Arabidopsis thaliana: one gene and its partners. The protein of the gene in region 1 interacts with the protein of each later gene in a pairwise test. Each region holds a gene or a part of one and is shown in the gene's direction. Other genes may lie near its edges. The genes, in order: FD, TFL1 and GF14 PHI.

Region 1 (10,982 bases):
CGTTTCAGAATTGGCACAGTCGTCGTATTATCCCCGTATGCCTTACATGACACCTATTCCGCATGGTCCGCAGTTCTTCTACCATTATCAAGATCCTCCGTTACACATGAAACTGCATAAGCAAATACAATATTATTTTAGGTAGTACCCTCGTATTTAATTTCTCTTATTCTTCTCGACGATGAAATTCCCACTGATCAATTCACTATAGGGAAATACTAATTTAGATGCAAATGTGTCTTTTGTTACAGTGATGAAAATTTGATTACAGACATATACCTTCGAGGGTTCATGAATAATGAGGGTTTTGTTCCGCTACGTGTGGTAGCTGGTTTCAAAAAGGTAAACTAGATGTATTGTCTTTCATACTGGCCCAGTTCACTTCTCTCCGTTTATATTATAAACAGTAGAATTAAGAGTTTCATTTCTGTATAATTCAACAAATGTTTTTTTTACTGATTAGGATTAAGGCGAATTTGTACTTACTACTTAGTCCAATAGGATCTTTGATTCTTTTGTGACTATTTATATAAAGATGTGGCATGCATGTACAAACTTTCAGCAAATGGATATGCTCTTAAGATAGTTGAAATATGTTAACAGTGGGCATGTATTGAGAAATTCGATTGTGAATCCTTCGTTTGTTCTTATATACTGTGTTGCATAATGTTGAACCTGAACAAGTAGGACTTATTAGCTAGCTGCACAGTAGGCTCTACACCAATTTTTTTTTGCTTTTCTTTTTCCTTATCCTAGTTACTATAACATTTTGTTGCTTTGTACTCGTCAAGAGTTCTGTTATTATTCTCTGTGAATTTTATCTATGTTTTGTTTTTTCTCTCTCCTACTTCAGGTTGCAGAACTTACAGATAATATCCAGCAGATAGTGGAGGCTCTTCAAAATTCACCTCATGTTGAAGTGCAGGTATTTTTTGTATTATGTGTCCTTTAATGTGTAAACTATTGAATTCCATCGTCTTTCCTTGCTAGTAGTATGGTAGTGTGTGATTGAACTTAAACCTTTCTATTAGGTATTTGATTTTGATTATTCTGAGAGATAGCTTATCAAAACTGGTGGAACTGAAAAAATAATCTTCGTGTTACCTCTTTGTGTGCTTGGAAAACTTTTACCTTTATTTAATTGGACATACTTTTTTCTTCTTCTCAGGGTGACTTCATAAGGAAGCGCGATAATTGGCAAAATTGGGTGCTAAGGAGGAACCCTACAGGTTCCGGCCCCCAATCTGTTGATAGGGCAGATGCAGTGGCAAAACGACTTGGAAACTTGTCAGTTGATCAGAGTTCGGCTGATCCCATTGGTGGTTCGAGCAGTCAGTTGCAACCTACAGAAGCTCTTTCAGATGATCAGCAACAGTCTTCTAGTACTGCTCCAGTGAGCAACCACAACGCCCCAGATGGTGCAAACCGTTGAACCATCAAGTTTGGGGGCTGTTGGTTAGTGTTGGACATGAATATATTATTTTGTCTTGCCCAAAATGAGGAAAACAATAATGAAGGGGAATCAAAAAAGAAAGAAAAGAGATAAAAGCATAAAGAGAAGAGACGCATATGAAAAAAAAAAAAAAAGGATCAAACATTTGTGATTCTTCTAGCTAGCGGAAACTTTGGCATATTTATGGGTTCTTTTTTTTTTTGGTTATTTTTGGATGCTAATAACTTTTTTTTATGTTTATGCTACATATGCTATGATCATTATTATGGTTGCTTGTAGCCATTGTTATGGTCTGGGATTTATTGGTTTTGCTTGCTAATACTCTCTTATAACCCCTGTTACTGTTTTTTTGTTCTGTTCTGGATTTCAATATTTCGATTGTTTTTATGGGTTTGAGAGAGTTAAAATAAGAGGAGTAGACTCGTGAATCTCTTCTAATTCTTCAAGCAAAAAGAAACTTTACTTGAGAGAAAGACTTGTGAGTCTCTTATACCTTAGCAACTTCGTCGGTGTGAGAAAAAAACAAAGTGTACCTTTATTTGAATTTCTATACCTAACATTGTAAGACGAACAAGTAACACGCCAAAAACATGTACAAAAACGGCAGCGTCTTGTGGTTTGCTTTGCTGTGAACATGAAGCAAACACGTGCTTTAACGCTCTACTGGCTGGCATTGTACTGCTGTGTTATGTTGTGTATGATTTTGAATGGAACAGTAAACCATTTAAAAAAATACAAAAATTGGAGAGTCGCTATGTAATTAAGAATTTAAAAGTAATAACATTAAATAACTGTTCTTGTATTTTTCAGTTCGATCAAGAAATAACTGTATTTTTATTTTTATTTGCAAAATCAGCCTAAGGCATTTCGTATGTTACAAGATTATTTAAACACTAACTTACCAAAACAGCAAAAAGGTTAATGTGTCTTATAAGGCATTTCGTAAGTATGATAGTTTATAAATAGCATGGATTCTATGTTTTATAAAAATAAAATAACACAACTTCATACATAAGTTTAAATACAATGTAGCAAAAAGGTTAATGTGTCTATTCAAAAGTTATAAATAATTCATAGTGTGTATAGCGTTTTAACCGTGAAATTTTCCCTTTGTTATCATCAGTTTTCACATGTGTGTTAATTCATATTGAAATTATTTGGTTCACTTTTTGACTAGTTAGGTACTTACTTATTTCTCATAAATGTTTTACATTATTGCAGCGAATTAAGCTTAACGTAATAACAGTATAATGTAGATCTCTCGTAATAATGAAAGCTGACTTTTCTACACCTAAAAGTCTAAGACGATCTAGTTATCCAAGGCCCTCTCTACTTGATTTAGTCATAATTATATCTAATTAAACACTCACATAATATCAGAATATTCTATATGTTCACCCAAATGTGGAAAATAATCAGAAACGGCCCAAGAATAGGTTCAATGTCACAATCCATGCGAAACAAAAAATCAGAACTATTCTTGATAGACTAAGAAAATAGTAAACCCTAATTCACAAAACACACCAAAAATATAGAAAGTTGTCTCAATTATTCTTACCATTTTGGAGATGTCAAGTACACAATCCCACCCATCTTGACTATCCAACGGTTAGCATTCTTTTGGCTCTTTCAACTCCAAGTTTTTTCCTTTATTTATTTTTATTGCTAATTTTAGCAGTAAATTATTACGTCTACTTTGCTTCCGTACGGTCTAGAGACAACCTACGGACAGATGATGATTGTACATACCAGTAGACTTACAGAATCCAACGGTTATTGAACTCACGGGTCATTCATATTGTTCGTTGGATTATAAATTTGAATGTAAACGAACATGAATAATTAAAAACAAGTTGAGATTTGTCTCTTCATCAAATCAAATCACTTGTCCACCGAGTTCGAGTCTTTTTTCAAGCCAACGAGTCTATCTTAAACCCTTTTACGTCTCTAAATATATAGAGATGTAATTAGTATTTTATTTCTTCACCACCAAACAATGTTTTATAATTGTAGGAAATCGAGATATATAAAACAATGAATTATTTTGCACTTACTACTTTTGGTAGGCATATTTCATGTTGTATGATAGTCCGGAAAATTTTATATAACTTGCTAAAACAGAATTTGTTTCCATTTATATGCATTGTTTAAAAGTAAACTAAAGAGGATATTAAAAGACAGAGAAATAGATTTGATGGAGTTTGGGACAGAGCAATATAGTGCTGACACCTGTCCAATCCCCTGAGACGTGACATGTCACACTCCTTTCTTATACAACTTACAAGTTCTCTGCACAATTTTATGATACAATGGACATTTGAATTCACTCGTTACAGACTATACCCCAACTTTATTTTGAGTTTATTTTGCAAAAATGATTTGAGACTGGGAAAATTTGTTTTATTTTCGTCAATGAATATGCGTAGTGACGTCGATACTAACAAAAGTACTACTCTTTACATTCGAATTTTTGGTGGTTGCGAAACGACAACAAAGATCTATGAAATTTGTGTTTCACATTAAAAACTCAAAATGTATTTTGAAACCCAATGTTTGGAAACATGTAAACAAATTAAAGTCTTTGTACTTTTCACCAACAAATGGAAAATATATATCTTCTAACAAATATGAGTATTTGAGGAGCTTGCATTTTCGATAAACAGCTCCTAATGTAGTACTCTTTGCATGTTCAAAAGATGGGACGTTTCCTTGAGGGCTGATTTCAACATTCAGAGAAAAAAAATTATATACATGTACGGAAATGAATAGTTAATCTTGTTGAATAGAATAAGAGAAGAGGAAAGAAAAACAAATATCGTATGTTATTATAGTTTATATATAATCAACTTGCAATAAAGGAAAAATTTGAAAAGCGTGACTAGATATGCACTTGGAGACTGACTTACATAGTAGATACGATAATCGAATATCTAGATATCTGGATGGTACTCATATTATTTGTTTATTACGTATGATCAAAGATTTATTAATATGTATCATCTTCTACTTGGCTTAATTATTAACTAGTTTAGTATTCGTCTCTAATCTTCAAAACAATCAACATAAATATCTAAACTATATTGGTCATATAAAATCTAATACTTTACTATCCACTTGTAATGTTTGTTTTGTTCAGAGTTGGAGACCCACATAAATTGATTTCCCTATCCGTATTGTAAAACAGACTATTGACACTTTGATCAAATCTCGTTGGATGACATGAACACCAATGATTTGAAGTGGGGAACAATTCAATAGTTAACAATATTTTTGTTATTTAAATGCATTTCAACTATACGGTCGATATTATTTGAAATGTTTGCAACTACATATTTAAGAAAACGTTAAGTGCAAATGACCCGTTCTTAAACACTCCGAATCTCATATAAAATAAAGTTTTTTTGTACTAATCAAACATATAATTTTCAGACTTTTAGTTTTGATAGAAACAAATTACATATACGAACACCCAAGTACTACTTTTTATATTCGATAATATTATTCTATCTTCGTTTAAAATATATTAACCACATCAAGAAAAGAGGAATGAAATATTCTAACGGAATTAATGTTTGCTGCCAAAAACAAAAAAAAAACAGAAGAAATTTTTACATTTGAGTTTATTGGTATAGTAGTTAGGATTTTGTGTTTTATTATATATTTAAACGAATTTATTTAATTATTTCTAATACAGAAAGATGTATATATTCTTATCTACTTTCATTTTGTTTTTAATGTTTTATTTCGTCAATACCCTTAGGGGAAAAAAGTGTATTTTGGCAAATTTTCCTTAAATCTAAGAGCAAGAACAAAAATTAAAGTCACACATGAAAGTTGAAAGTGATCCAAAGGGATTTGATATTAGAAAATAGAAAGTGAGATAAAACCAAAAATAATTTTATATATTTGCCTGGCTTTTTACAAGCATCTCACCCCCACTCACTCTTTACATTTAAGGATGATGAAAAATACTTCACTTTTGAAATAATCAAACACCATTTTTAATCTTTATAATAACTCTGACGTTGAAGACATCAACAAACACCTTTAATTACATATAATAGTTTATGGAATTTCTCTTCTTCTTCTTGAAATATATTATTTAATTGGAAATAGTTCAATCCCTCTGTCTCTTCTTCTGGAGTCTTGGACCCAACCCCATCATTCCAGAAATGACCGGCTAAAGTCAAGAACCTCTCTCTGAGCTCTCACCACTTTCTCTCTCTACTCCCTCTCTGCGTGTAGGATACTACTAGACAATTGACAACCAAAGACTAAAGCTGTGTTGTTGGTTCACTTCTGTTCTCTTTTCCAATGTTGTCATCAGCTAAGCATCAGAGAAACCATAGACTCTCTGCTACAAACAAGAACCAGACTCTCACCAAAGTTTCTTCCATTTCATCCTCATCACCATCGTCTTCTTCTTCATCATCATCAACCTCATCATCATCTCCTTTACCTTCTCAAGACTCTCAAGCCCAGAAGAGATCTCTTGTCACCATGGAAGAAGTTTGGAATGACATCAACCTTGCTTCCATCCACCACCTAAACCGACACAGCCCTCATCCACAACACAACCACGAGCCAAGGTTCAGGGGCCAAAACCACCACAACCAAAACCCTAACTCAATCTTCCAAGATTTTCTCAAAGGATCTTTGAACCAGGAACCAGCACCCACAAGCCAGACCACGGGTTCTGCGCCTAATGGCGATTCCACCACGGTCACTGTTCTTTACAGCTCTCCTTTTCCACCTCCTGCAACTGTTCTGAGCTTGAATTCCGGCGCTGGCTTCGAGTTTCTCGATAACCAAGATCCTCTTGTTACCTCAAACTCTAATCTTCATACCCACCATCACCTCTCAAACGCTCATGCCTTCAACACCTCTTTCGAGGCTCTGGTTCCATCCAGTTCTTTTGGTAAGAAAAGAGGCCAAGATTCCAATGAAGGTTCAGGGAATAGAAGACATAAGCGTATGATCAAGAACAGAGAATCTGCAGCTCGTTCCCGCGCTAGGAAACAGGAATGTGCCTCTCCTCTTCCCTCCTAATCTTCTTCTACTCATGTGTATCAAAAAGGGAAGAAAAGAAATGTGGTTTTGCCATCAAATTGCTTTTGATCTAAAAAAAGGTCTCTTGGTTTTGATTCTCATTTGCAGGCTTATACAAACGAGTTAGAACTTGAAGTTGCTCACTTGCAGGCAGAAAATGCAAGACTCAAGAGACAACAAGATCAGGTAAACAAGCAGAGCCAAGTTCTTAATGTTTTACCCTTTTGTAGCACTCATGTCATTAGATCAATTCCTTGTAGTTTAACCAACTTATAAAAAGAGACAGACAGACAGCCTCTGGAGTATATTTGTTTTACACACTTTTTTGTCCAATGACATTTTGGGTGGTTAGATTCTGATACTTCAGTTGTGTGTTTATTATGTGTGTGTGTGTGTGCAGTTAAAAATGGCTGCAGCAATTCAGCAACCCAAAAAGAACACACTTCAACGGTCTTCCACAGCTCCATTTTGAGAAATCTACAAGTCCTTGTTTCTCTTTTGGGGATTGAGATTGTCTCATGAAGAAGTGAAAAAATGGCAAAAGTTTGTACCCTTTTTTATTAGCTATAAGTATAACTAAGCCTAAAATTGTAGAACTAAGATATTGTAGGGGAAAAAAGAAGATGTAAAACAAAAGACCCGGAAAGAGAAAAGGATCTTTCAATTTCCTAAGGCACAGGAACACCTGTCCTGGGTCCTCTCTTAATGTTCTGTCGTTTTCCTATGCAAACCCTTTTTTCACTTCTGTACTAACTTCTACTTGTATTCTTGTTGTAGTAATGTTCTACTTCCTCTTCTAATACTAGTAAGAAAAAAAACCTTATGTTTTACTGTTTAACCAATTTGGTTCTTAAAAGAAGCAAAGGATCAAATGACCAATAGACAAAACAGTGCTCCACTTAAATGATGACAATACCAGAGAAAAGTGAGAAGGGGACCTATCACTGAACATTTAATTTTCTCCCTATCACATTATCACATAAATATCCAATCCTTTGGCTGTCTACCATACAAGCCAACAACTTGCAATATGATTTTGAAACCTCCAAGCCAATGGGAATTAAGTTCACCACTTTTCGGGTTGGTCAAGAGAGAACATGATAAGTTTCTTATTCAGCATGGTCACTCCCCACGTTTTATTTATATTCATAGTACATAGTATTGTAGCTTTTGCTCTAACTGGTCACCATCAAAAACACTAGGTGTGTTTGTATTCATTTGGTTTATCAAGAGAATAGTTTTTATCTTCTTTTGGCCCAATTTCATTTACCTGACAGTGATAAGTCTTGTTGATCCACTTTTGGTTGTTGATATATTGCTGTGTATTCTTTTAAGCAACCAAAAGTGGACATCAAGAGCTAATATGGTGTAAATATAGTGGACATTAAGATAAAGAAGAATAGTTACCAAAAGTGGGACTATGACTAGAATCTATCCTCACATTATATGGTTACACTTAGAGCCCCTCAAATAGGCATCCAATACTTTAAATCATGCTTCTACTTTCATTCCAGTCAATAAGAATCCTAGACTTCAAGAAACTTTAAACGAAAAAGTTGGTTTATTCACCTGAAACTACACACCTATAATGTTTTTCAATTGGTTACATCAATGTTTCCCATCAAACATTCATACTTAAAAATGCTACCAGAACTTGGCCACAAGCCTAAAAGAGAGTTTAGAAGAGATGATCAGGTAACTAGTACAGAGGACAGAACGAACCATTGATAAGTTGCTGCAGATACAAGCTGATACCTTCACTCTGACCATTTTATTTCTTTTTGGGTGCAAAAGCAAAAGTCATTAAGCTTTTGATGCATCACCTTCCTCCTCAAGTATTTTTCCATCCTTTGGAACCAAGCATGGAATCCCATCTTTGATCTAGCGTGTTAAGAGAAGCAAAATCAAGTCTTAAACATTGAATCGTGAACATGAAGTGAAATCTAAAAAGAACAAGAAGAATATCATTAAGAAGAAAACAGCCGACCAATCACTTTAGCATATGATTATTCCATCAGTGAATCCCAAATCAACACCAAGAATAAATTCATTTTAAACATTATTTAGTATGAAGCAAATGAAGAATAATGAAAGAATCAAAGTCTATATATATATACACATCTCAATCTTTGATTAGACAATTCCTAAAAGATCAAAGTTGGGTTGAGAACATGTTCACTGAATAAGAGAGCATGATTCTGAAAGCAGATATGATAGTGATTTCGTACAATTTCACTGTTTGGAGAGTTAATAAGCGCCATAAATCTAACTTTCATGGAGCTCAACAGCTCACAAGCATCTGAATCGAAAAAATCAAAAAGCTTTGGATAGAAGCTTACAGGAAAAGAGACACCAATAGTATCGCTGACAAGTGATTTCGTCTTCTCGCAAAACCTATCAGCAATCAATTCACCAAATTGCTTAAACAAGTTCTTCGGGACCAATCGAATTTAAGCTATGTACATTTTGAAGGAGAGAAATCGAACCTCAGAGGTTGCTTAGAGAGAGGGCACACCAGAATCTCGGAGAGGGTCTTGTCAATTACATTGCCGGCGTCTTTTAGCAGCACTCTGTTTAGTCTCACCATTCTAAAGCTTTGATCTTTAGCTCTCTCCGGACTTTTTCCTTTTTTCCGATCTCCGGTAGAATCGACCGGCGTTGAGCGATAGTTTTGGACTTTTTGAGTAAAAACGCAAAACGCCCCTATAAATTTAAAAGTTTCCAACCATGCCCCTCAATTTTTATGTTTCACAAACGGTCCCTTCAATGTGTATATATTATTCTAGCTAGGGGAGAAAATTTTCAAATATAAGCCTCTATATTTTATAGTTCTTGTTTGATGCCCTCAATTCTAATTTGTTGACCATTCGTCCGTCGGACTTTATAAATTGATCAAACATTAAGCGCTTCGTGTTATAATGTCTATGGGACATTGGTTAGAATTTACACAGATTTCTTATCCAGCTATTGGAAGATGTTGATCACTTGCACTCTAGATTAATGCTCCTGAATCTCTGATTCTGCGCATAGAAATATTACAAAACTTGATTCTCGCATCACCCCTAACAAGTTTACTACTTGTGTTACAAATTGTAAACTTCCCATGATTCTTGTATTATATGTGTAAAACTGTAGATGCTTCATTCAATTGCTCAGTGATTTTGCTTCACATTGAGACAATCATTGTAACGAATGAGTAAAAACACTTTTAACATCTACGATGATATCAGATCGACATTAAACTAAGATGATCTTAGGTTTCTAGGAATAATCCTTGATAAGCATGACAGGATTTAAACTTCCTCTCATACCTTGTGCAAGCATCCGAATGCAGATTTAGACAACCTCTTCATCGTCCAAGAGCAGACAGTCTTTAATTTTCTCCCTGAAATAAATGGAAACCAATGTTAGGAATCTCAAATAGTGTTTCACTCAGTCTTGATCTTGGTTGTTTTAAATCTGATGCTTCCTAGAGACATGAACTACCAATAATGTAGGTAAAACGAATGGAAAAGGAATCCAAGTTTGAGATCAGAGTTAATGCATACTACTCACCTCAGATAAGCTTGACTATCAACTTTTTGATGTTTCACTTGGGAAATCATGTGATCTGGTAGAAATGAACTGAATTGCTCAAGAGATGATCCATCCTGTGGAAGTATTTGAAACCGGCAACTTGAACAGCAAGCAGCATAGAGGACATCAGATTCCTGGCCTTCTTCAAAAGTATCCAACTCTGATGAGTCTGATCTATTTAGCGGGCCATTGCAGATAGGACAGAAAGCTTCAGTAGTCATTGATCCATCATATTTGAGATTGAATCTCTTTAGGCGCCTCTGAGTGGCCATAGGTACATTAGAGTCGTCTGTTTCCGGAATTTTATTGAAGTAAAATGGAGTCAGCTTCGCAGCTGTCCGTACAATTGTGCATTCCCGGGAAGGATTTTCTTCCTGCACAACAGAACCCAGAGACAAATGAATCAGTAAAAACAAAGTAACAGGTAACCATGCATGCACTTAAACATATGCAGAAGATGAACATTATCTGAACCTGCAACAGAGCGACAAATGAAGACACCAAATCATTGATTCCGCATTGAGAACGACAAGCCAACTCCACAGTCTTAAGTCTGCCCTGCCCAGAATATGTGACGTCACTCAATAGTTGGATTATGCAAGAATAAGGTTCACTATAACAATACAATGTAGACTAGGCAGCCAATAAACGAACCCATCCAAAAGGCAGAGTCTAGTTATTTCCAGTCGAACACAATCTCGAAGTGGAAGTACAATGGGAACCTTCCATCTAGCATCAACATGCTGAATATCTGCTGATAGTGAATAACCTCGTCCCTGTTTCAAGAAAAAGCAATTCAACTCACAATTCTGATAGAACATAGTCTAAAGGGAATGTCCAAATAAAGTACACAAAACATTGTGTACTGAAATAAAATCTTTACACCAAAACTTCAATTTTTAGA
Region 2 (10,206 bases), on another chromosome or scaffold:
GATAATGTTTATGAAGACTTTTTGGTGTTTGCTTCTGTTCATTCTGTTGTTGAGGTATTGTGGAAGCATCTTTATCAATGTGATTTTATTTGTTCAAACCATGAAAAAATCTTTAAGACTGCTATACTTTGGTTCTGTTCTTCTTAGCCCTGTTCTGCAAAACAATAGATCAACGTGATCAAAATGAGAAGCAATGCGTTAGTAGTAATACAATCAAAATACAATTTATAGGAGCGTATCAGCTAGTAAATGGAAATTTTTAATCCGTATAACGGCTAGATTATATATCACGGAACCAAAGGTTGGTCTGGACTTCCTAAGTGAAAGGGGAAAAAGGAAACTTGAGTCTAGCGGCTAGATTATCACCAAACCTCTAAGGTTTAACCCGAACCGTGTATAACGGCTAGATTGATTATCACCGAACCTAAGGTTGGTGTTTGCTCTGGAGTCTGGACTTAAACAAACCCTAAGTGAAAAGGAAAAAAGGAAACTTTGGGAAGAAAAAAAGGGAACTTGAGTCTCAATTCTTAAACATATAAGTTTTATAAATATACCTCGTTTCCTGTTATCTCCTCGAGTCTAAAGACGCAATTTCTCTGATTTCAATTCTCTTCTTCGAGATGATGATGCCCTGGTTCTTTCTTCTCCCTTCGTTTAAAAAGAATCATTCGTTGGTCTGGCCCAAGAAAAACTCATCATATATACAACGGCTCTCTGTTCTCTTAAAAAGCTATGAATAAGACGAGAGAGATCATACACACACAAGCATCACGTCGTCTCATATAAACGTCAGAGAGACATTCTTAATTTGTTTGCCTGTGATGATCTCACCGTAGAAACAGAGAGAAACGGAGGCGATTCGAAGGAGTTAGCGGCTTCAGGAGTCATGATGTTGGAGGTTCTCTCCGGAGACGGAGATGGCGACAGATTTAGGAGGTGGAGCGATCGTCGGAGATTGGGGGATTCGTTTTCCCGGTAAGGCGGTAACGGAAACAGATGATCACATGAGCGTGCTCTCAGAGGCCCAACAACAACAATTCCAGCCCATCAAACAATGACTAGCCCATTGCCAGGTTAATTCTCAACCATTTCTCTTCAAAGGTTTTTTTGCAAATTTTATTCAAGTTTTTGTTTAAAGTTAATTTTTTTCTTAGCATTTTTAATTTTTAAATAATAGAAATTTGGATGATAAATTACAATACGATGTGAGAACAAACCGGATTTTGGATCCCGTCGTTGATCGATAGCGATTCCAAATATTCAACTTGTTTTTACATTGTTTTATAGATTTATCATACAAATTTCTTTATTTAAAACTTTTTTATATAATTTTTAAGTTTTTTAAAATTTTAAATAATAGAAATTTGGATGATAAATTTACAATACGATGTGAGAACTAACCGGATTTTGGATCCCGTCATTGATCGTTAGCGATTCCAAATATTCAACTTGTTTTTGTATTGTTATGTAGATTTATCACACAATTTTTTTTTTTTTTTTTAAGTTTTTAAAAGTTTAAATAATAGAAATTTGGATGATAAATTTACAATACGATGTGAGAACTAACCGGATTTTGGATCCCGTCATTGATCGTTAGCGATTCTAAATATTCAACTTGTTTTTTTGCATTGTTATGTGGATCTATCATACAAGTTTCTTATTTGAAATTTATTTTTCTTATTATCTTTTTAGTTTTAGTTTTTAAAATTTTAAATAATAGAAATATGGATGATAAATTTACAATAGGATGTGAAAACTAACCGGATTTTGGATCCCGTCATAGATTGTTAGGATTCCAAATATTCAACTTGTTTTTACATTGTTATGTAGATTTATCATACAAGTTTTTTTATTTGAAATTTATTTTTCTTCGAAATTTTAAATAATAAAACATTGGATGATAAATTTAGAATACGACGTGAGAACTAATCAGATTCTAAATCTCGTCATTTGATTGTTAATGATTCTAAAAATTCAATTTGTCTTTTTACATTTATCATACAAATTTTTTAATTTGTTTTTTTTGTTATTCCAAAAATTCAACTTGTTTTTCTTAAATTAAAATTCAGTGATTAATTTTATCGTAAAGTGTAATTGAAACCAAAGAAAAATAAACCAAAGTAAATGAAAACGCCATCTTTAACGAAAAAAAAATGAAGAAGAAGAAGCAATGAAACAAATACAAAATTGATAAATTAAGCTTGGATTTGTAAATTAAACATAAAAGCATGGATTCGGTCAATCCAAATTATTGAACCGGCTGGGCGAAAACAAAATTAAAATAACTGAACTGATTCGGTTATTGAAAACCGAGTACCGAAATTAAGCAGGCCTATAAAATGCAAAGAAATCCCTTATTCTTTCGTCTCTGTAAAATTAGGGTTTTTGCCTCTCACGCTTATCGCCGCATCTCCGTCAACCTTCATCTACAGGTATCTTCATCGTTTACAAATCTTGTCTGTTGTATCTCGAATCGATTGCTATCTCTTGTACATTTTCTTCTGCTAAATCTGTCTTGTATCGAATCTGTTATTTGAAGTTAGCCCCTGTTTTCTTAGATAATTGAAACCCTAGTGTTGCTCCTGTTACGATGAGAAACTCTGAAGATTGAAACTTTCATAACAAGGAATTCTGATTGTGATAATCTCTGTAAAGTTGATTGCTTTACATGAAACTGTGTACTGATTGTGTATGCATTTGATTGATGTTTTAATGTGAATTTTCATGGTTTTGGTTGATTGAATCAGAATGGATTCTCAGATCAAGCACGCTGTGGTGGTTAAGGTCATGGGTAGGACTGGTTCAAGGGGTCAGGTTACTCAGGTTCGAGTGAAGTTTACCGACTCTGATCGTTACATCATGAGGAATGTTAAAGGACCAGTGAGGGAAGGTGATATCCTCACCTTGCTCGAGTCTGAGAGAGAAGCTAGGAGACTTCGTTGATCTTCTTCTTCATACTCCAAAATGCGGAAACAAGAAAACATTTGGTTATTTCTCTTTTGCTTTCTTTGATTGGATTAGTGGATTATGCATTTGGAGTCTTAATTTTGTTGTTGCTTTAAGACAATTGCTGCTGGATTTATAAGTTGTTTGGTATTCAAAATCTCTTCATCCCTTTTTTATATTGTTCATCAAGAATTTGCTCTATTCTCCATCTTGTTCTACCTGAATCATGTGTTTTGGGTTATGTTTATAACTTGGGTAAGCAGTGGTGTGGTCTTGCCATCGCCACAGATCTTGGATTCGTAGAAGAATGGTTATATTGGTTTGGTTTTTCCAATTGAAAATCGAAGCTTTAATCGAGTCCAAAATGTCTCTGAAATGTATCAACCAAAACTGATATAGGAAGCTACAAGGCTAAGATAAAATTTGAAAGCAAATATGTTTCTACCCTAATGTTTGAAATCTCTGCTTCAAATTAAAGTAGTACTCCAACCAGAGCAGCTAATACCTCATCAGAATCACTTTCTTCTACCCTGGTCCGTTCTGAGTCCAACCTTGATTTCATCCGTGGTGGTAAGAGTCTTAAGACTGTAGCGAGTGTAGACTTTAGTTTATTGATAACATCCCTACTTTGTCACCATAGTGACCAGGCTTCTCGTATTTGAGTTCTATGGCTCTTACTTGCCAAAAGAGCTTCCTTCGTCAAAGAGGTGTTTTGGGGTCGCCAAAGTTAATAACCAGAGGCCGGGGATAGAGAAGATTCTTTTGGGGGGGTTTGGGGTCGTGACTCATGTCGTAAGTTGTTGCTTGCTACATCTTTTGGATTAAGCTTCACCTAAGCTAAATAGCTAGTTGATACGTTGTCTACTTTTTTTTTTTTTTTGTCGTTGATACGTTGTCTACTTGTATTGAGCACATTGATGTTTCTCTTTTCTTTTTGAAAATTCGATTTATCTTTTTTTTTTTTTCTAAATTGTTAAAGGGTTGTCTTGTTTGGAGAATTTGTTGTAGACAACTTTATATAAGTTTGATATATTTTGCTTTGTGCCTTTATTCTGATTAATTACCAAATCTTAATAAAGCATCAATCAAGACTTTCTAATATAAGAAAATAAATAAATTATTATTTAGTGGAGAATCCATAATAAGTTAATAATCATTATATTCAATAGGACAAAACCTTTGGGTGTGTTTATATTAGTCTACGGATTTTCTGATTTGTATAACACTTTTGGTATTTCAGATTAATAGAGTATTATGGTTGAAATATGCATTCGTAAAATCTTCGGAAGTTTTAAGGTTTTGTAACTAATAATCATATATAGAATCCCAATTTGAAGAATCGGTTCTTCACGTTGGTTTTATTGATTCGATAAAAAGAAGTTTTTTTAAGAATCAATGCGACAATGCGTTGTCGTTCCACGAGCAAGGAGTCCCAAATCTGCGATATGTTTCTTTCAAATAGCCTCTGAGCTAGGCCTGGGCATTCAGTTTCGGTTCGGTTGCGCATGGTTTCGGTTATTTCGGTTATAGTAATATAAGAACCATTTGGATATTTGAGGAATTTTGGTTCGGTTCGGTTCGGATATCTTTCGGTTCGGTTCGGTTTGGATATTAAACTTGGTAACCATAAATAAACTAAAACCGAAATAACCGACTAAAAACCGAAACAACCAAAAAATTTGACCAATAACCGATATAGAACGTACGTAAAAAAGAGAAATATTCACAACTCACAAAGATGGTCCATACTCTCCATAATATTAAAACACCTGATTCACAACTCACGAAATTCAACTTGCAAACTAATAAAGAGAAAAACATAGTTAAGTGTCAATACATACTGTGATATATTATCTATCATACATATATGCTTTGGTTTTCATTTGGTTATCGGTTATTAACCTAACCGAAACCGAAACCGAAATCTAAGACATATAATATTCAACCGGTTATTTTAAGCTATCCAAACCTGAACCGAACCATGTTTTTCGGTTCGATTCGGTTCGGTTAATCGGTTAGCGGTTTTTTTGCCCAGGCCTACTCTGAGCAATAATTGTATCCGGAGTTGTAATAGAATCAAAGTACGATGAGAGTGTTTTTATGACAAATATCTTAATCTTGGCCAATTATATGTTCTACTGAAATTCTTTTTGAATTCATCGACCAGTGAGACTTAAAAATAGCTTTTTATTCGCCGAGGTATATATAGCTAGGAATTTTGTCGAAATTTAGACGTTAGTGGGTTTTGTTCTTCGTGACACAAAAGATATTCTATATATTAACGAAATCTAGCGATCGATATGGTATTTATATAAAGTCTTGGTCATAGATAGGGGTTGAAACTTGAAACCATGCATGATATGCCAATGTTGCTGAAGCAGTCAATGTTGCTGAAGAAGTCAAACGTAATTATATAGTGAATACCAAAAAAGTGATATTTCTTAATTCAATTAAATATAATTATAGTTTTAAATCACCTAAAATAAGTTACTTATTAAAACCCCCCAAATTTACTTTAATATAGTTGGTGTACATGTTTGAGAAAGCAAACAAAAAGAAAAAGAAAAAGAAAAAAAAAAGAGAAAGAGGTTAGTACACATAATTGGGAATTAATGTCTATTGATTCTTTTATCTTTCTCTCTCTCTCTAAGACGGAAAACCCCTATAAATAGATGTCTCGGTCGTCTCTTTGTCTCCCAAATCACTACAAATCTCTCTTTTCCTCTAAGTTAACAAAAGAAAATGGAGAATATGGGAACTAGAGTGATAGAGCCATTGATAATGGGGAGAGTGGTAGGAGATGTTCTTGATTTCTTCACTCCAACAACTAAGATGAATGTTAGTTATAACAAGAAGCAAGTCTCCAATGGCCATGAGCTCTTTCCTTCTTCTGTTTCCTCCAAGCCTAGGGTTGAGATCCATGGTGGTGATCTCAGATCCTTCTTCACTTTGGTAAATACATATATTTAAATTATTTTATAATAATGTTGGTTTTATTTATATTGTGCCAAAAAAAACCATATAAAACGTCTCACTTCCTTTTCCTCTTACAAGTTTTCCATTTCTAACTCAATAATCTTATAAATTGTAGCTTTAGTTTTTATCATTCCTTTTTCCAGTCTTTTTTTTTTAATGGTAAAACTCAACCGAAATGCAAAACAGGTGATGATAGACCCAGATGTTCCAGGTCCTAGTGACCCCTTTCTAAAAGAACACCTGCACTGGTACGTTTAATTTATTTATTCTTTCTTTTCATTTTGGGCCCATATTCCATATACATTGCATTTAAATCATTTCGTTATAACCCTAATAAAGTTTTTTTTGGGTGTAAGTTATATACATTTGAGTTGGTCAAAGATCTCCATCGCCATGAGTTCTCAGAACTTTTTCTGTAAAGTAATAATATTAGTATTGTTGAATGTTTCAATAGGATCGTTACAAACATTCCCGGCACAACAGATGCTACGTTTGGTAAGGCCTCTTCATGAATCTTGTAATTTAAATACTTATACATATATCATGTTATATAGAAATAAAAATATTTGCATTGTAATATAGGCAAAGAGGTGGTGAGCTATGAATTGCCAAGGCCAAGCATAGGGATACATAGGTTTGTGTTTGTTCTGTTCAGGCAGAAGCAAAGACGTGTTATCTTTCCTAATATCCCTTCGAGAGATCACTTCAACACTCGTAAATTTGCGGTCGAGTATGATCTTGGTCTCCCTGTCGCGGCCGTCTTCTTTAACGCACAAAGAGAAACCGCTGCACGCAAACGCTAGTTTCATGATTGTCATAAACTGCAAAAATGAAAGAAGAAAATTTGCATGTAATCTCATGTTTATTTGTGTTCTGAATTTCCGTACTCTGAATAAAAACTGCCAAAGATGAGTTGAATCCGAAATATCAATTGAGTTTACAGAAGTATTGATAACGATCTGTCGATTATCAGAATAAAAACTAGATTAATTGCATATCATGTTTAGCATTGTAATACTACAAAAATAGTAAACTCTTGATTAATTAATAAAATCTAAGTTGCTGTAGTATATAAATCATTAAATCCTCATACATGGCTTGATAGGTCACATCACATGTAGTGAACCTTATTATATGATAAACGTGGAGATACGGAAAAGGATAGTTAAACGATGAAAACTTTTTTTAGTTCTGGTCAAAGTGACAAGACCTTGATGACCATCTAAAATATGATCCTCTCCTCTTCTTACTCGGCGATCATATTCATATCTATTTTCACGGCTGGTATTGTGACAAACAACCACCTTTTATTTTCAAAAAAAAATCTAATAGGCATATGTATATTTCTCTATAGGGACCCTTTCTCTATATATATATTTATTACATTCCAAAATTCAACGTCAAAAATATAGATTTATTGGGTATAAATCCCTCACTAGCGTAGACATGTCCGCGGTAAACAAAAAATGTCTCTGCCTACAAACTATATAATTCGAAACATATTAGATAGAAAAGTCAGTCTTCAATAAAATATTTATTATATGTATATATGAGGTATGAGATATAGTTTTTTGTCAAGAGTTTTAAGAAAAAATATCTATATTCAACCGAATAACCATTAAATAACAAGTCTTAATCATTAAAATGCTTACAATATTTTCATATTTTTACTTAAGATTTTACTTTTTGCTACCTTGCAAGTTGCAAAAGTATAATTAAGTAATTAACAGTCTAGTTTTTGACAACAAGAAGAAATTAGCATTCTACATTGATTCAGTGTTCAAATGGAGAAAAGTTTTTTTTAAATGGATTGGCCATTTTGGGTGTATAAAGAATATAGTACAGCCTGAATGATAGACCCATCTTTGAGAAATGAGAGATGCAAGTGGGAAATATTAATTTCAACGGTAAACTCAAGAGAGATCACGTGTCATTAATTCAGTGGTTAGCGGCTAAGTACTGTTACAATTATCCTCAACGCCGACCAACTTCTGGTTCTCTACATGTATATTCGCTATCATATAAACAAATCTAGCAAAATACGACTAACTTAGTAACTTGTTTCGATTTTGTTAGATTACTATTACATAGTTTGGATTCTCGTTTATTAACAAATTACCAAATATCATAAACATTTTTCGTTCCAGCTCAATGACTAAAGGTATTGAAATCGAGTTTAAGTTCAATGTGGGTTTCAATCATTTTATTTTATTTTTGCTTAAGAATAGTCAAAGCAAAATTGATCAAAAACAAACTGGTTTTGGTTTCATTGTGAATTAAAAAAAAAAAGGGATAAGATAAGGGTTATCTACACATGTGCCATAACAAAATCTTATGTAATTATTGCTTCCAAGACTTCAGAGCTAAAATAAATAAAGAAAAAACTGAAGAAAAAACAAAGAAGTATATACAGTACACCTACGTAGGCAAATTGATTCGCTACCAAATCAAGGGCATGCAAAGACTTTAGGATTTGCCTGAAAAAGACACTGTGAACTAGAACATTATATAGAGTTTTAGGGTTTCAGTAACACATAATGTGCCTGTGTTGTGTTTAGCCACTTATGGTTATTTTCATAGCTAAATATTTTTCCAAAAGTGAAACACCATTTTTATTTATAAAATGACTGGCCCCTCGCGTTTGGTGTTATTACAAATCAACACGTGCTCTGTTCCATTCCATCCCTGATTTTACTCAAAATTTTGCTACATCTAAATATATTTCTTATTGCCAAAATTGAGATGGTGATTGGTGTCAGTATTTGGGTATGAATCGTTTTGAACTAAAAGTCTAAAACATTATGTAGAGTATTAGGGTTTCAGTAAAACATAATGTCCATGCGTTGTGTTTAACTACTTATGGTTGTTTTCATGGCTAAATATCTTTCCAACAGTAAAACACACTTTTTATAGCGTATTTTATTCATAAAATGAGTGGCCCTTGTTATTACCAATCAACACGTACTCGGTTCTGTTCCCTCCCTTCTTTCACTCAAAAATTTGCCTAATCTAAATATATTTGTCATTGCCAAAAATTAGTTTACTGTTTGGGTGTGAATCGCATCGAAATGCTCTTCGTATGTGTCATAAAATGAAACTGAAAATCGTTTTGAAATTCATAAATACGTATTTAAGAAAAATCGTTCAAACATATGATCTCTCTGCCAACTGCCAAGTACATGTATTATTTGCTTATACATAAAATTTAACTAAAACTCATTTGAAGATCATTTATATTCGTTTCATTTCTCTTTTCATCAAAAACCAAAAATAAAACAAAAAATCTAAAATCAAAAAACAAAACTGTCATGCAAAATAAAATATTGTTATAAATTTGATGTATCTGATTTATAATTTATGCAAACTCAAGTCTTGTCACAAGTAATTACTTTCTACATGTACGAGCATAGTTATTTCTTTTTCATTTCACGGTACACATTTTTTTTTTCACGGTACACATATAAATCACATCATTCAAATCACGCATTAACTAACGAATTATATCTACCGGTACATAGATTTATAAGTACATTAACATCTTCTATTTCACCGGTACGAAGCCGCAAACCTGGTGATTAACCAGCAGTGGAAATTATTAGCCGCCATACTTCGGTTTAGAACGACTCTCGAGGACAAACCAACATGCAATAACCTTACGATTAAAAGAGACGACCTGTCGTGTTGCATGTAGTAACAAAAAAAAAAAAGAGAAAGCAAGAAACATACTAACCCTTGGACCGAGTCTACTGGTCCTTCGTATAAACACATAAATTCTAATATTTTAAAAGTTTAGGGCTTTGTAACATAGAAAGGCTGTCTAAATTTGATTGGTTAACGTGTCGAAGAGTCGTGCTAGGTCCCCTCATGTGTTAAGGTTTGATCCTCGTATAATATATACTCACAACAAGTAACCAACATAAAGTGAGGAGGAGGTACATTTACACATACATGTAGACAAAGTAAATTCAATAATTTAACCAAAAAAAAAAAATTCTAATAAAAACAATTTCCATCTTTATAGCTAACCCATAATATTGTATTGCTGTTACAAAAAAAAGGCTATATGGATTTCAATCAATCCTCTTTTTTGTGGAAAATTTTGAGTTTCTTTTTAGGATCTAAAAATACTAACCAAAGTAAAACTGAAACGAATAATATGTTGTTGTTAGGGATAATTCTTCCAACAGTTTCATCTTCACAAGATCTCATTTTAATATCAATTTCGGATTGGTCCAGTTAGAACAATTTTATATACATATTTGATCATATCAGTTTTTGGTTTGG
Region 3 (10,841 bases), on another chromosome or scaffold:
AAAAAATGGCTTTAAGAACTTTTTAAAAAAATAAAGCCAAAAAAGTTTGATTGGTAGAAAAAAAACTGTTGGAGTTTAGAATACTCTTAAAGTCCTAAAAGTCATGTGCTATCTTGTACAATCGTATAATACTATTTATACATGTTTTTCTCGAAAAGAGCTAATAAACTTATGAATTAGTCACAAATTTGGTTGAAGATTAAAGATTGAACTCGAGAAAACCAGCATTGACACAATTACAAAAAAATGTCGAAAGTCATCCAAACTAAACCGAAGGCTAGTTGCCAAATTCTAGAAACCCTAAATTAAATTGTTCATTTCTTCCCTTTTTGCTTTGCTACCGTGGTCGAACGGGTTTCATCGAGCATCGATGTCGGATCTTTTACCACCATCTATGAGGGAGCTATTTCATGACATAATTAAATTACAAAAACCTCTTATGTCCGGTTGCCTTTGAAGAACTAAATCACAAGGCTTTTAGTAAGTATATATCCTCTTCTTTGAACTAGTCTATGCTGGATCTTTGTTTTGTTAATATCATCTTTTGCACTGTAACTTATTAAACTTTCAGACTTCTCAATCCACGAAATTTTTGATGCGGAGGAGCCAATGCCGGTTCAATGTTTTGCGAGACCGTAAGCAAGATTAAATTTTTTTCCCCCTTTTAAATGCTACTTAAATCCATACTGAAAACAATTTTTTTTTGAACTTCAAAAGAACAATCAGAAGTTTAGACATATAAAAAAACATAAAGAATCAAAACTAAACCAAAACATAAACCAAGAGATAGAAGAGAGAATACATAAGTGTCGACCACAAGCTAATCAACACTTGAATAAATTTCTACTTAGTAAATATGATCCTTCTTGAATTTTTGTCCTGCAAAATCATCCATCACAGTCGCATAGTTGATATTTTCAAGCATTGCTCTCTCAATTGATAATATAGCTAACCCATTCAATCTATCTTATGACATTTTAGACCGCAAATAATTCTTGATCAACTTCAGCTTAGAAAAACTTCTTTCGACGGAAACAACTGACACTGGAATGGTCAATAATATCCCATAAGAAATCCATGTGTTTGGATAACAACCCCCCATTCTTTTCAAAAAATCAAGCACTTCAATAGGTTTCTTAACTTCATTTGGTAATACTTCTCGTAGAACTTTTATTTCCATAAACAAATCTAGCCATCTATATCAGAATGCTCACCATGCTTGAGGGATGATTCAAGGTGCACACAAGATGCCATTAAACTTTCATCACTTGCAGATGTCAATTTCTTTAAATCAAACAGAAATCCAAAAGTTTGTTCGTACCTTTGGAATTGCTCAAATCTTGACTAAAGAGAAACTAGAGCTTGATCTATGAGTGTGAAGAAGTAATTAATTCTGAAATCCTCCTCTGGTGACAAGTCCATATTCTCATCTCCTTTTTCTGAAACTTCATCAAAATGCTTCTTTCTTCGAATGGTCCTCTTCTTCTTTACAAGAAATTCAGCTTCTATATCCATATCCTCTGCAAGTCATACAACCTCAAACTTTCAATCTCAAATCTTGTCTCTCTATATTTTTGAAGATATGAAACGAGTCCTTTTAGTTCGATAATAGCAACATCAATATCAATGTCAGCCGATTGTAAAGTCTTGCTCACTCGGTTGACAACAGCTAGAAGATCATACCAAAGAATCATACCAAAAAGAATCTCAAACACTCCAATACCATGTGTTTCACTCTCTGCAAGGCATTCACATCACTTCGTGTTTTTGGATCGTCGGTCTTTTCTGCCAAATAAAGTAAAGCATCTCTGATTTCAAGAGTTTGAAAACGTATGGCTTTGACACCTTCGAGATGACTCTCTCAACAAATTTGAGATGAAGATTTAAGTGTTGGACCTTTTACCATCTCTTTAAATATATCCCACCTGTTTGTTGAAGATACAAACAAACAGTATACTCGCTGTAAACTCCCAAAAAAAGACATTGCCTTTGTCGAAGAAGATGTTATATCGCAAAGCACAAGGTTGAGGCTATGAAAACCACATGGTGTGTAGAATGCTCTTGGATTAATTTCCAACAATCTTCTTTGTACTCCTTTGTTTTTTCCTTTCATATTAGATTCGTTGTCATAACCTTGTCCTCTCACATCATCAATCTCTAACTCCATATCAACTAATGCTTCTTTAATCTTAGAGAATAACCCTTCACTTGATTTATCTTTCACTTCCAAAAATGTCAAATAAAACTCTTCAACCTTCGTTAACGTTGAAGAAATATTCACACATCGAATGATCATAGTCATCTGTTCTTTATGACTAATATCCGGAGTACAATCAAGAATTATGGAACAGTACTTTGAAGCATGTATTGTCTTCATGATCATAAGTCTAATCTCACCGGTCAAGATACCTATTAGCTCATTTTGAATCTTGTGACTTAAATAATGAGAATATATCTCAGCTGCACCAATTCTTCTGATATGCTCTCTCATTACGACATCAAATTCTGCAATCATTTCAATAAAACTCAAAAAATTCCCATTTCTGTCTTGGCCAACCTTTTCATTTTTTCCACGAAATGCTAAATTATTTTTAGCGTGAGTTTTCACCAATGCAATGATCCTTAGGAGTACTTCCCTCCAATGAATATTATCTTTGTTTATTGCTTCTTGGGCATGCTTATCAATCGTTTTATTTTTCTGTAGTCTAGACTCTAACTCAGCTCGACGAGTCATACAAGTAATGTGATCATGGCTGCCTTTGTGTTCTTTGAGTCGCTTTGAAAGATTTCTCCAATCATTGTACCCGCTAGTTGCCAAGTAACCACCTTTTTTGTCATGTCTCAACAACTTACAACAAAAACAAAAGACTTTAATCTAATGCTTTTGAGTAAATCAACCATCTTCTATCTTGTTTCTCCCCATTCCTCATTTCTCTTATGTAAAATGTTTGAGAAAAATGCCTACCAATACTATCTTTACGAAACCGGTAATTAGTTGATAACCTTGTCGCTAGACCCTTTTCAACTAATAAATCTCTGAATCTCATATTCATGTCATCCCAATTTACTGGATCGGAAATATTGGAAGGAAGTTCTTCTTTCTGCCCACTTTTCTTCTCTTCATGAACAACTTCATCTTGATCTTTGTTATCAAACTCATTCTCATCCACTTCATTCGTCATCCAAACTGTCCACATTATTGTTGTTATCAAGCATCTGCTTGGAGGAGCCAATGTAGGCATGTGCTCTCTCTTCTTGTTATCAAGCATCTGCTTGTGATATTTTTGTACAATTAAGCTAACATAACTTTAACAAAAAAAATCTGTAATAATAAGTTTATATGTACAATCTAATTCCAACAAATCAAATACTAAACTAAATATCATTGATCAACTAATTTTTTTATTTCCTAAGAACATATCTCTTTAAAAGAATTGTTTGAAGTTTCTTCCATTAGAATAAGTCTTGTGAAAATTTTATTTATTACATCATTAAGTAAAACTTCTTTTAAATTAATAGGTTAAACAGTCTATATATATTTAGTTTTTTTTTTTGAAAAATAAAATAAATTGCATAAAATAAATTGGCACTAATTTTAAAATAAAACGTTCTAAAGATATTTTTTATACAATATATAATAATTAATAACCTAACAATTTCTTTCTTTTTTAACAAAACAATTTCAAAATTCAACTTAAAAAAAAAATTGCTCAATCAACAGAAATTACAAAATGCCAATATGGACGTAAAAGGTCCATTAAGGAATCAAAATACAACAAAGTAACTTTTTCCACATAAAAATAAACTAAGGGCATCTCCAACGCACAGATACAGTATGAGTTTCTCAATTCTATTTTTTTAATCAGTTAATAATAAATATATTATTTATTTAAATTTTATATTATAAAGACAAAATCTGACCAATCATAAATAACAAGGGGTTGAGTTGGGTTTCTCATAGTTTCTCATATGAGAAACGTTTCTCTTTCTTTCTCCACCTTTTTCATTACTTTTTATTTTTTTAATCTCCAGATACTCATTAAAAAACTGCTGTTGGAGATGACCTAAAAACCGACCCAAAAAGTATCAGAAAATTCCCGTGTACAAAATTTAATCCAACGGTCCTCCTTCCATCTCCTTTCGCAATCGTCGCTCCCCACTCAAACAAAAACCAAAAAAAACAAAACTATCTTTTAAACCCCAACAAAAAAAAAATTGAAATTCGAAAACAGAACAAAAAAAAAAATCTCTCTCAATCTCTCTCAGATCTGAATCCATCCATCACCGATCTCTAATGGCGGCACCACCAGCATCATCCTCGGCGAGGGAAGAGTTCGTGTACCTCGCAAAGCTCGCAGAGCAAGCGGAACGTTACGAAGAAATGGTTGAATTCATGGAAAAAGTCGCTGAAGCCGTTGACAAAGACGAACTCACCGTCGAAGAACGTAATCTCCTCTCCGTCGCTTACAAAAACGTAATCGGCGCTCGTCGTGCTTCCTGGAGAATCATCTCTTCCATTGAACAAAAAGAAGAGAGTCGTGGTAACGATGACCATGTGACCACGATCCGTGATTACAGAAGCAAGATCGAATCTGAGTTATCGAAAATCTGTGACGGTATTCTTAAGCTTCTTGATACTAGACTTGTTCCTGCTTCTGCTAATGGAGATTCTAAGGTTTTTTACCTTAAGATGAAGGGAGATTATCATAGGTATTTGGCTGAGTTTAAGACTGGTCAAGAGAGGAAAGATGCTGCTGAACATACTCTCACCGCTTACAAAGCTGCTCAGGTTTATTCTCCGATCTGGAATTTTGTTGGATCTCATTTCTAGGTTAAATCATGATTTGTGTGAATCTGTGTTTCTTTTGTTTGTTTGTAGGATATTGCTAATGCTGAATTGGCTCCAACGCATCCGATTCGTCTTGGTTTGGCTTTGAATTTCTCTGTGTTTTACTATGAGATTCTTAATTCTCCAGATCGTGCTTGTAATCTCGCTAAGCAGGTGATGAGAAAGTTTCTGATCTATTTGGGATTTGAGTCATTGTGTTGGTACTACTCTATGTGTATTGATATTGAGATATAACAGGCGTTTGATGAAGCCATTGCTGAGTTAGATACTCTTGGAGAGGAGTCATACAAGGATAGTACCTTGATCATGCAGCTTCTTCGTGACAATCTTACTCTCTGGACTTCTGACATGCAGGTAAACGATCGAAACGAAACCGTTCTTTGCTTCATCGAAACTGCTGATAATGGTTATGATAGAATAGTTTTGGAATTGTCCACCAACATAGTTCATTGCTGATAATGGATATGATAGATAGGCTTAGTGGCTCATGATGCTGGAATTGTGCACACACATTGTTCATAAGCTTTGAATCAGATGGTTTAGTTTTGCATTATGTATGATAATACTCTCATGAGCTTCTTGGTCTTGATCTCTGATTCTGTTGTGTTAATTTCGACGATTAATCAGGACGAAAGTCCGGAGGAGATTAAAGAAGCAGCAGCACCAAAGCCTGCTGAAGAACAGAAGGAGATCTAAGTTTGTGGTTTCTTTTTTCAGTATTCTTAAGTTATGCAATTATAATTATGTTTCTGCTTGGTGTTTATTTTCTAATCTTTCCTTTGCTATCCCCGAAGCTTCTAAGGCCGTCTAATTCTTGTCCTTTGTTTGCTTTTCTCAATCGTGGATGCTACTGGATTTCTGTTTTGTTTTACTTCTTCTCTTGATTGATTGCATTTCCCGGCTTATGCCTTGTACTTGAAACTCAGTTTTCTCTCTTATTAATGATTTGCCATTCACCTGGTTATGCGTTTTTGTATACATGTGACTGCGTTTGCAATTGTGTTTTCTGAGTTTGCTTAGGTTATGCACACACAATTTACGCTGTTTGAGAATGAGCGCTTGCTAATACTGATACAGATTATTACAGGAAACACTGACCTCAAAATTTGCGTGAATTTCGATGAGATTTGCGTAGGAATAACAAGTGTTGGGCATATAGGTTTGAATCAAATGGGACTTACCAAAGTTTGTATCAACCTCGTTCACCAGTTATTGTTTTGCAGACCTCAACCAAAAGTTAACATGAACGAGGTCAATACCTCTCAAAAGCTGATTAATTGATAGCATCACTCATAGTAAGGTAGAGATTAATGTTCAAGAAAACGTTAGGCGTTAATTGGGCGGTAACCCAATGCAACGCTTCATCGGGTCTAAACAGTTTTAGGCGGTTAAAGCGTTTATAGTATAAAATATTATAAATATGTTATTATATGTAAAAGTTATTTAAAACATAAATTAAAAAATAAAAATCTTAAATTTACAAAACAAAAAATAGATAAAACGTACATTAATTCATATCAAACAACATTTGAACATTAAACTATATATATGAAGACAAAATTTAACAAATTTGAATTTGAGTAATTAAAATTTGGAAAAAAATATTAAAACGAAGCATATATAATCTTAGGCGGTCGAAACTGTCGTTTAGGCGTCATGTGAAAACCTAACATTCGATCTCTACGTTTTCACGTCCGCGGGTTACTCTAGAATAATTTGAAATGAGTTTATAGATCCATGTAGAACCCAAATAAGTTTGTGATCTTCCTAAATGAATGGCACATGAAAATATGCCAGACAACAATTTTTTTGACAGAAGATCTTAAGCTCATAAGATGTAAACTTCAACGAGCCATCTCAAGTAACCATAGATAGCTGTCATGGATTGAACATTAATGTAAATTATTTATTTGCAATAACATTTTTAATATCAAATTTTTATGATTGTGTCCCTAATTTGAATACCGTCTAGATCCGCCAATAAGCAAGACTTGGTAAGGTTGACTTGAAGAAATTTTACGAGATTTCTTTCCACTATTATTCTTTACATTCTTGTTATAATGGTTTTTCTACCTTTTTTTAGTTTACTTGTGATTTTTGACAAATAAAGCTGTTACTTTGGCTAAAGATTCCATTGATTAGTTGTTTTTTTTTTACTTTCCTTGTTCCTTTTTTTTTGAATTCAAAATTTTATCTCAAAACAAATCCTATATATATATATTAATAATAGGAGAAAATGTCATTTAAATCATCAATTATCTTTGACAAAAAAAATGATCAATTATCAATTTTTGTTAATTTAAAGCATAGTCTACGTACCTCATAATTAAAATGCTCAATTTTTTGTTGACTTTTAATTTAATCGCAAATTTTTGTTGACAAAGCCAATTGAGCCACATCGTAAACTAGCTAAACGGAACAATTAGATGTTGTTATGTGTCTGTTAATGAGTCTATTAATTAGCTAAACAACGGTGTTTTCAATCATAAGAAAACTCCTAGATCGATTAATCGAGGAGAGTTTCTTTTAGTAAAAACGGCGTTGTTTAGATGAAAACAACTTCGTTTAGCTATTTAACATACACATAACAGTGTCTGATTGCTCCGTCTAGTTAGTTAATGATGCGTTTTAATTGGCTTTATCAACAAAAATATTTGTAACTAGATTGAAAGTCAACAAAAAAAAGAGAGCATTTTATTCACTAAGTACTCATACTTTAAATCAACAAAAATGTAAATGACATATTCCTATAAAAATATATATCCGTTTGGAATGCTCACTAACCAATAACCTCTATCAGACAAAATTTTATAGATTTTCATATCGTTTATTTTCTTTTAGATTAAGTCGACATTTTGGATTCCTTACATATAATTTACATATAGAAAAGCACATGAGTCATAATATTTGGAATTTCAACTACGTCGATTTTTTGGTGGACATTGATCGTTTAATAAATTTGTATCTCATCATTTTGAGTAATTTATAGAACGCGCTCACAAGTTGTAATCCCAACCCCATTACCTAAGAAAATAAGAACACAAAAAAACGCACATGAAATGTTATATCTCAACTGAAATTTGTGATCATGAAAAATATTTTAGCATCTTTTCCTAAACAAAATCTTCTTTTCAGTTTTGAAAGTTTCACATTTTTATAAAACTATGAACAATTGATGAAACAATAATAAGTATAGCCTAGAACGAAATGTAAATCATATTCATCTATTAAGATACTGTATACCTTGATGAGGATGGGATTATCAGCTGGTATTGTTACGTAAACTAGGTAAGGTCCACCCACCATTCGGGCCACCGAGAAAATTGTTGCAAAAAACACCTCCACAAAATAATGATTATTATTACGTAATTCTCCCGCCATAATATTATAAATTTATTTTAGTTAACATCTCTAGATTTAGAAACAATAATATCGATTTCGTAGCCATAATGTAGAGTGTTTTTACAAAACTTGCAAGATTTGACAATAGTTAACGTGTTGGTTTTGTATATTTATTCCTAGAAATGATAGCTAGCTAACTCATTAAGAACTTATCTCTAACAATCTTAATAATTAACATCTCTTGATTTTAGATTATCTCAAGTTAAAATGTTAATAACAATTTTCTTCTAAGCATTACTAAATAATTACTAATTATAATTCATATAAGAAAAGTATGTATGTATGTAAATACTCACATCGGCTGCAAGATTTAGGTCGGTGTCTCTACAACCAATCTCTTTAAGAATCTCCCTGAGGTGAAGAAACGGACTTGAGATCTCTGTTATCCATATTGCTGCCACCATCTCGGATCCACACTTTAAATCCACCATATATTCACAACAAAAAATAAGTTTATTTAGTTACTTAAGATCCAACTTTTCATAGTACATAATCTACAAGACTACAAGTTACCATTAAAAACGAAATAAAAGAGGGGGAAAATATGTACCTTTTGGTAGAAAAGTCCAGCTACAAAACCAAGAATGCAAACAGAATGATGAACCGCATTATCAATGCTAAGGACTTGATCAAAGTGGCTACAAATGAGATCGTAGATCATGTACGACAATGAAAACGCCAACGTTTCCATCTGCCGGAGAGACGATGTAGAAGCAATGGGACAAACAGGACAAGACCAATCTTGAATCGAGAGAGTTGCTAAAGTGACAGCGATTGTTGCGTGAAGCGTTGAGACTATACGGGTGCTGAAGTCGAACGAGTAGCTTGAGAAGATTCGTCTTACAAGGATGAAAATGAGACCCCATGAGATTATTCTTATTGTTGTTATGCTTATTATTCTTATGTATTCTTCCTCCATTGATCTCCTTCTCGTCTTATATTTTTGGTTCTGACTTCAGAGAGACACAACTTTGTTATCTAAGGTCTTTTTAATGCTCAAACCATAAAAAAGAAGATGATGTTTATATGCTTTTGGTCTTTGGTTTGGTCTTTAGGCGTTATTAATAGACCGAGATTGTGAGTTTGCCATGTGAAAAAAAAAAAAAAAAAAATCTTAAACGTACAATTTTAGTTTTAGGGTTTTGTTAGTGAGAATCTCGGAGACACGATCTCTTACTTAGGGCTTGATTGGAACCGCAAACACCCTTTTCCTTAAACTCCCGTAACCGCAACCGCATCCGCTGCGTTTAAACCAGTCAGGCCCTCGATCAATATTCTTTATATCTCTTATAATTCAATGTTAATTAGCTTAATTGGTTAGCGTAATATTAAAAGTAAACTCAGTTTTCTCTCTTATTAATGATTTGCCATGCATCTGGTTATGCTTTTTGTACACATGTTAAGGTTACACAGTTTGCGCTGTTTGAGAATGGATACTGATTCAGATAACAAGAAACACCGAATCGATTATATATTTGTGTAATGCTGTGAATTGGATGAGGTCTGCATAAGAATAACAAGTGTTAGGCATATATGTTTGAATCAAATAGGATTTAGAAAAGTTTGTTTCAACCTAGTTTGATGGATCCATTATTATGATATTAGCTAAAGCCCACGTATATAAGCGAGTATAGATATAAATATAAAATTTCATCATTGTAATTTAAATTCGAATAATAAATAGTAATGCACACACTTTTCCTAATGTTTAGTTTAGTAATTTTTGTTTTAAAAAAATTTTAATCTTACCCATTCTATTTCATATACATTTTAACTATCTAATTCATTTTGTCCAAAAAAAAGAAAAAAACTATCTAATTCATCAAAATAACCTAAATTTTAATTCTACATACTCCATCTTAGTGATAATATTTGAATTTTACTCCACCTTTTTGTATATTTAATTTTTTTTTACACCAAATTTCAATCTTACATTTAGTTTGTAATATAGTTTAGCTATCTATTTCATCATAATAATTTGGATTTAATTTTACACTTCATCTTGATAGATAAGTGCTAACGACTTAATATAAAATAAATATGTATAACATATTTGACATCTTAGTTAATATTAAAAGTACCAAAATATAATTAATAAAAAATAGAAATTTACAAACAAATATTTGGAAAACTGAAATTGTTTAAAGTATAGTTTTTTTATATGGGGCAATCTCTTAGGTTAGTTTTACCTCATTCTAAACTAATTATATATGACTTAAAATTAATAAATAAAACATATTAAAAATATGAATATTCTCATTATGTAATCAATAGTTCAATCCTATAAGCCATATTTCTCAAAATAAAATTGTGTTTTCACATGCGTTAAAAATCTTAGTAAAGAACAGAAGTATAACCATACTAATATTCTCATCAAGTACTCAAAAAAACTCTTCTAAGCTCATTATATAAAATAAACTAGATAAGGCCCGCCTAAATAGGCAGGTGTAAGATGTAACTGTAATTTTTTATCGATAATATTTAAATTTTGAATAGTAAAATAATAATCTATACATTGTTCTTAATATATAATTTTGAATAGTAAAATAGTAGTCTTATGCATTTTATTTTATTATACCCATTCAATCTT

The links.
Region 2: the proteins of FD (region 1) and TFL1 interact in a two-hybrid assay, tested with the Arabidopsis thaliana proteins (2 studies listed by BioGRID, with this or other methods).
Region 3: the proteins of FD (region 1) and GF14 PHI interact in a two-hybrid assay, tested with the Arabidopsis thaliana proteins (one study listed by BioGRID).

Annotation. Positions count from the first base shown.
Region 1 is NC_003075.7:16,998,979-17,009,960, forward strand, and holds FD (Basic-leucine zipper (bZIP) transcription factor family protein), read left to right. Parts: upstream 1-5,543; 5' UTR 5,544-5,767; coding exon 5,768-6,475; coding exon of another isoform or gene 6,476-6,502; exon of another isoform or gene 6,503-6,610; coding exon 6,611-6,688; intron 6,689-6,902; coding exon 6,903-6,974; 3' UTR 6,975-7,330; downstream 7,331-10,982. Other genes in the region: LARP1c (winged-helix DNA-binding transcription factor family protein), read left to right, coding at 9-141, 252-342, 854-925, 1,169-1,432; AT4G35905 (Trm112p-like protein), read right to left, coding at 8,306-8,383, 8,842-8,896, 8,989-9,089; AT4G35910 (Adenine nucleotide alpha hydrolases-like superfamily protein), read right to left, coding at 9,839-9,887, 10,058-10,452, 10,553-10,631, 10,733-10,854. UniProt on the Arabidopsis thaliana protein: Transcription factor required for the transition to flowering promoted by FT.
Region 2 is NC_003076.8:1,021,279-1,031,484, reverse strand, and holds TFL1 (PEBP (phosphatidylethanolamine-binding protein) family protein), read left to right. Parts: upstream 1-5,612; 5' UTR 5,613-5,688; coding exon 5,689-5,898; intron 5,899-6,108; coding exon 6,109-6,170; intron 6,171-6,376; coding exon 6,377-6,417; intron 6,418-6,504; coding exon 6,505-6,725; 3' UTR 6,726-6,985; downstream 6,986-10,206. Other genes in the region: AT5G03850 (Nucleic acid-binding, OB-fold-like protein), read left to right, coding at 2,749-2,943. UniProt on the Arabidopsis thaliana protein: Controls inflorescence meristem identity and is required for maintenance of an indeterminate inflorescence. Prevents the expression of 'APETALA1' and 'LEAFY'. Also plays a role in the regulation of the time of flowering in the long-day flowering pathway.
Region 3 is NC_003070.9:12,862,970-12,873,810, forward strand, and holds GF14 PHI (GF14 protein phi chain), read left to right. Parts: upstream 1-4,156; 5' UTR 4,157-4,294; coding exon 4,295-4,789; intron 4,790-4,879; coding exon 4,880-5,002; intron 5,003-5,086; coding exon 5,087-5,203; intron 5,204-5,392; coding exon 5,393-5,545; 3' UTR 5,546-5,921; downstream 5,922-10,841. Other genes in the region: AT1G35150 (General transcription factor 2-related zinc finger protein), read right to left, coding at 1,189-1,284, 1,357-1,518, 1,590-1,738, 2,134-2,840, 3,004-3,269; AT1G35170 (TRAM, LAG1 and CLN8 (TLC) lipid-sensing domain containing protein), read right to left, coding at 7,769-7,873, 8,093-8,188, 8,548-8,667, 8,802-9,170. UniProt on the Arabidopsis thaliana protein: Is associated with a DNA binding complex that binds to the G box, a well-characterized cis-acting DNA regulatory element found in plant genes.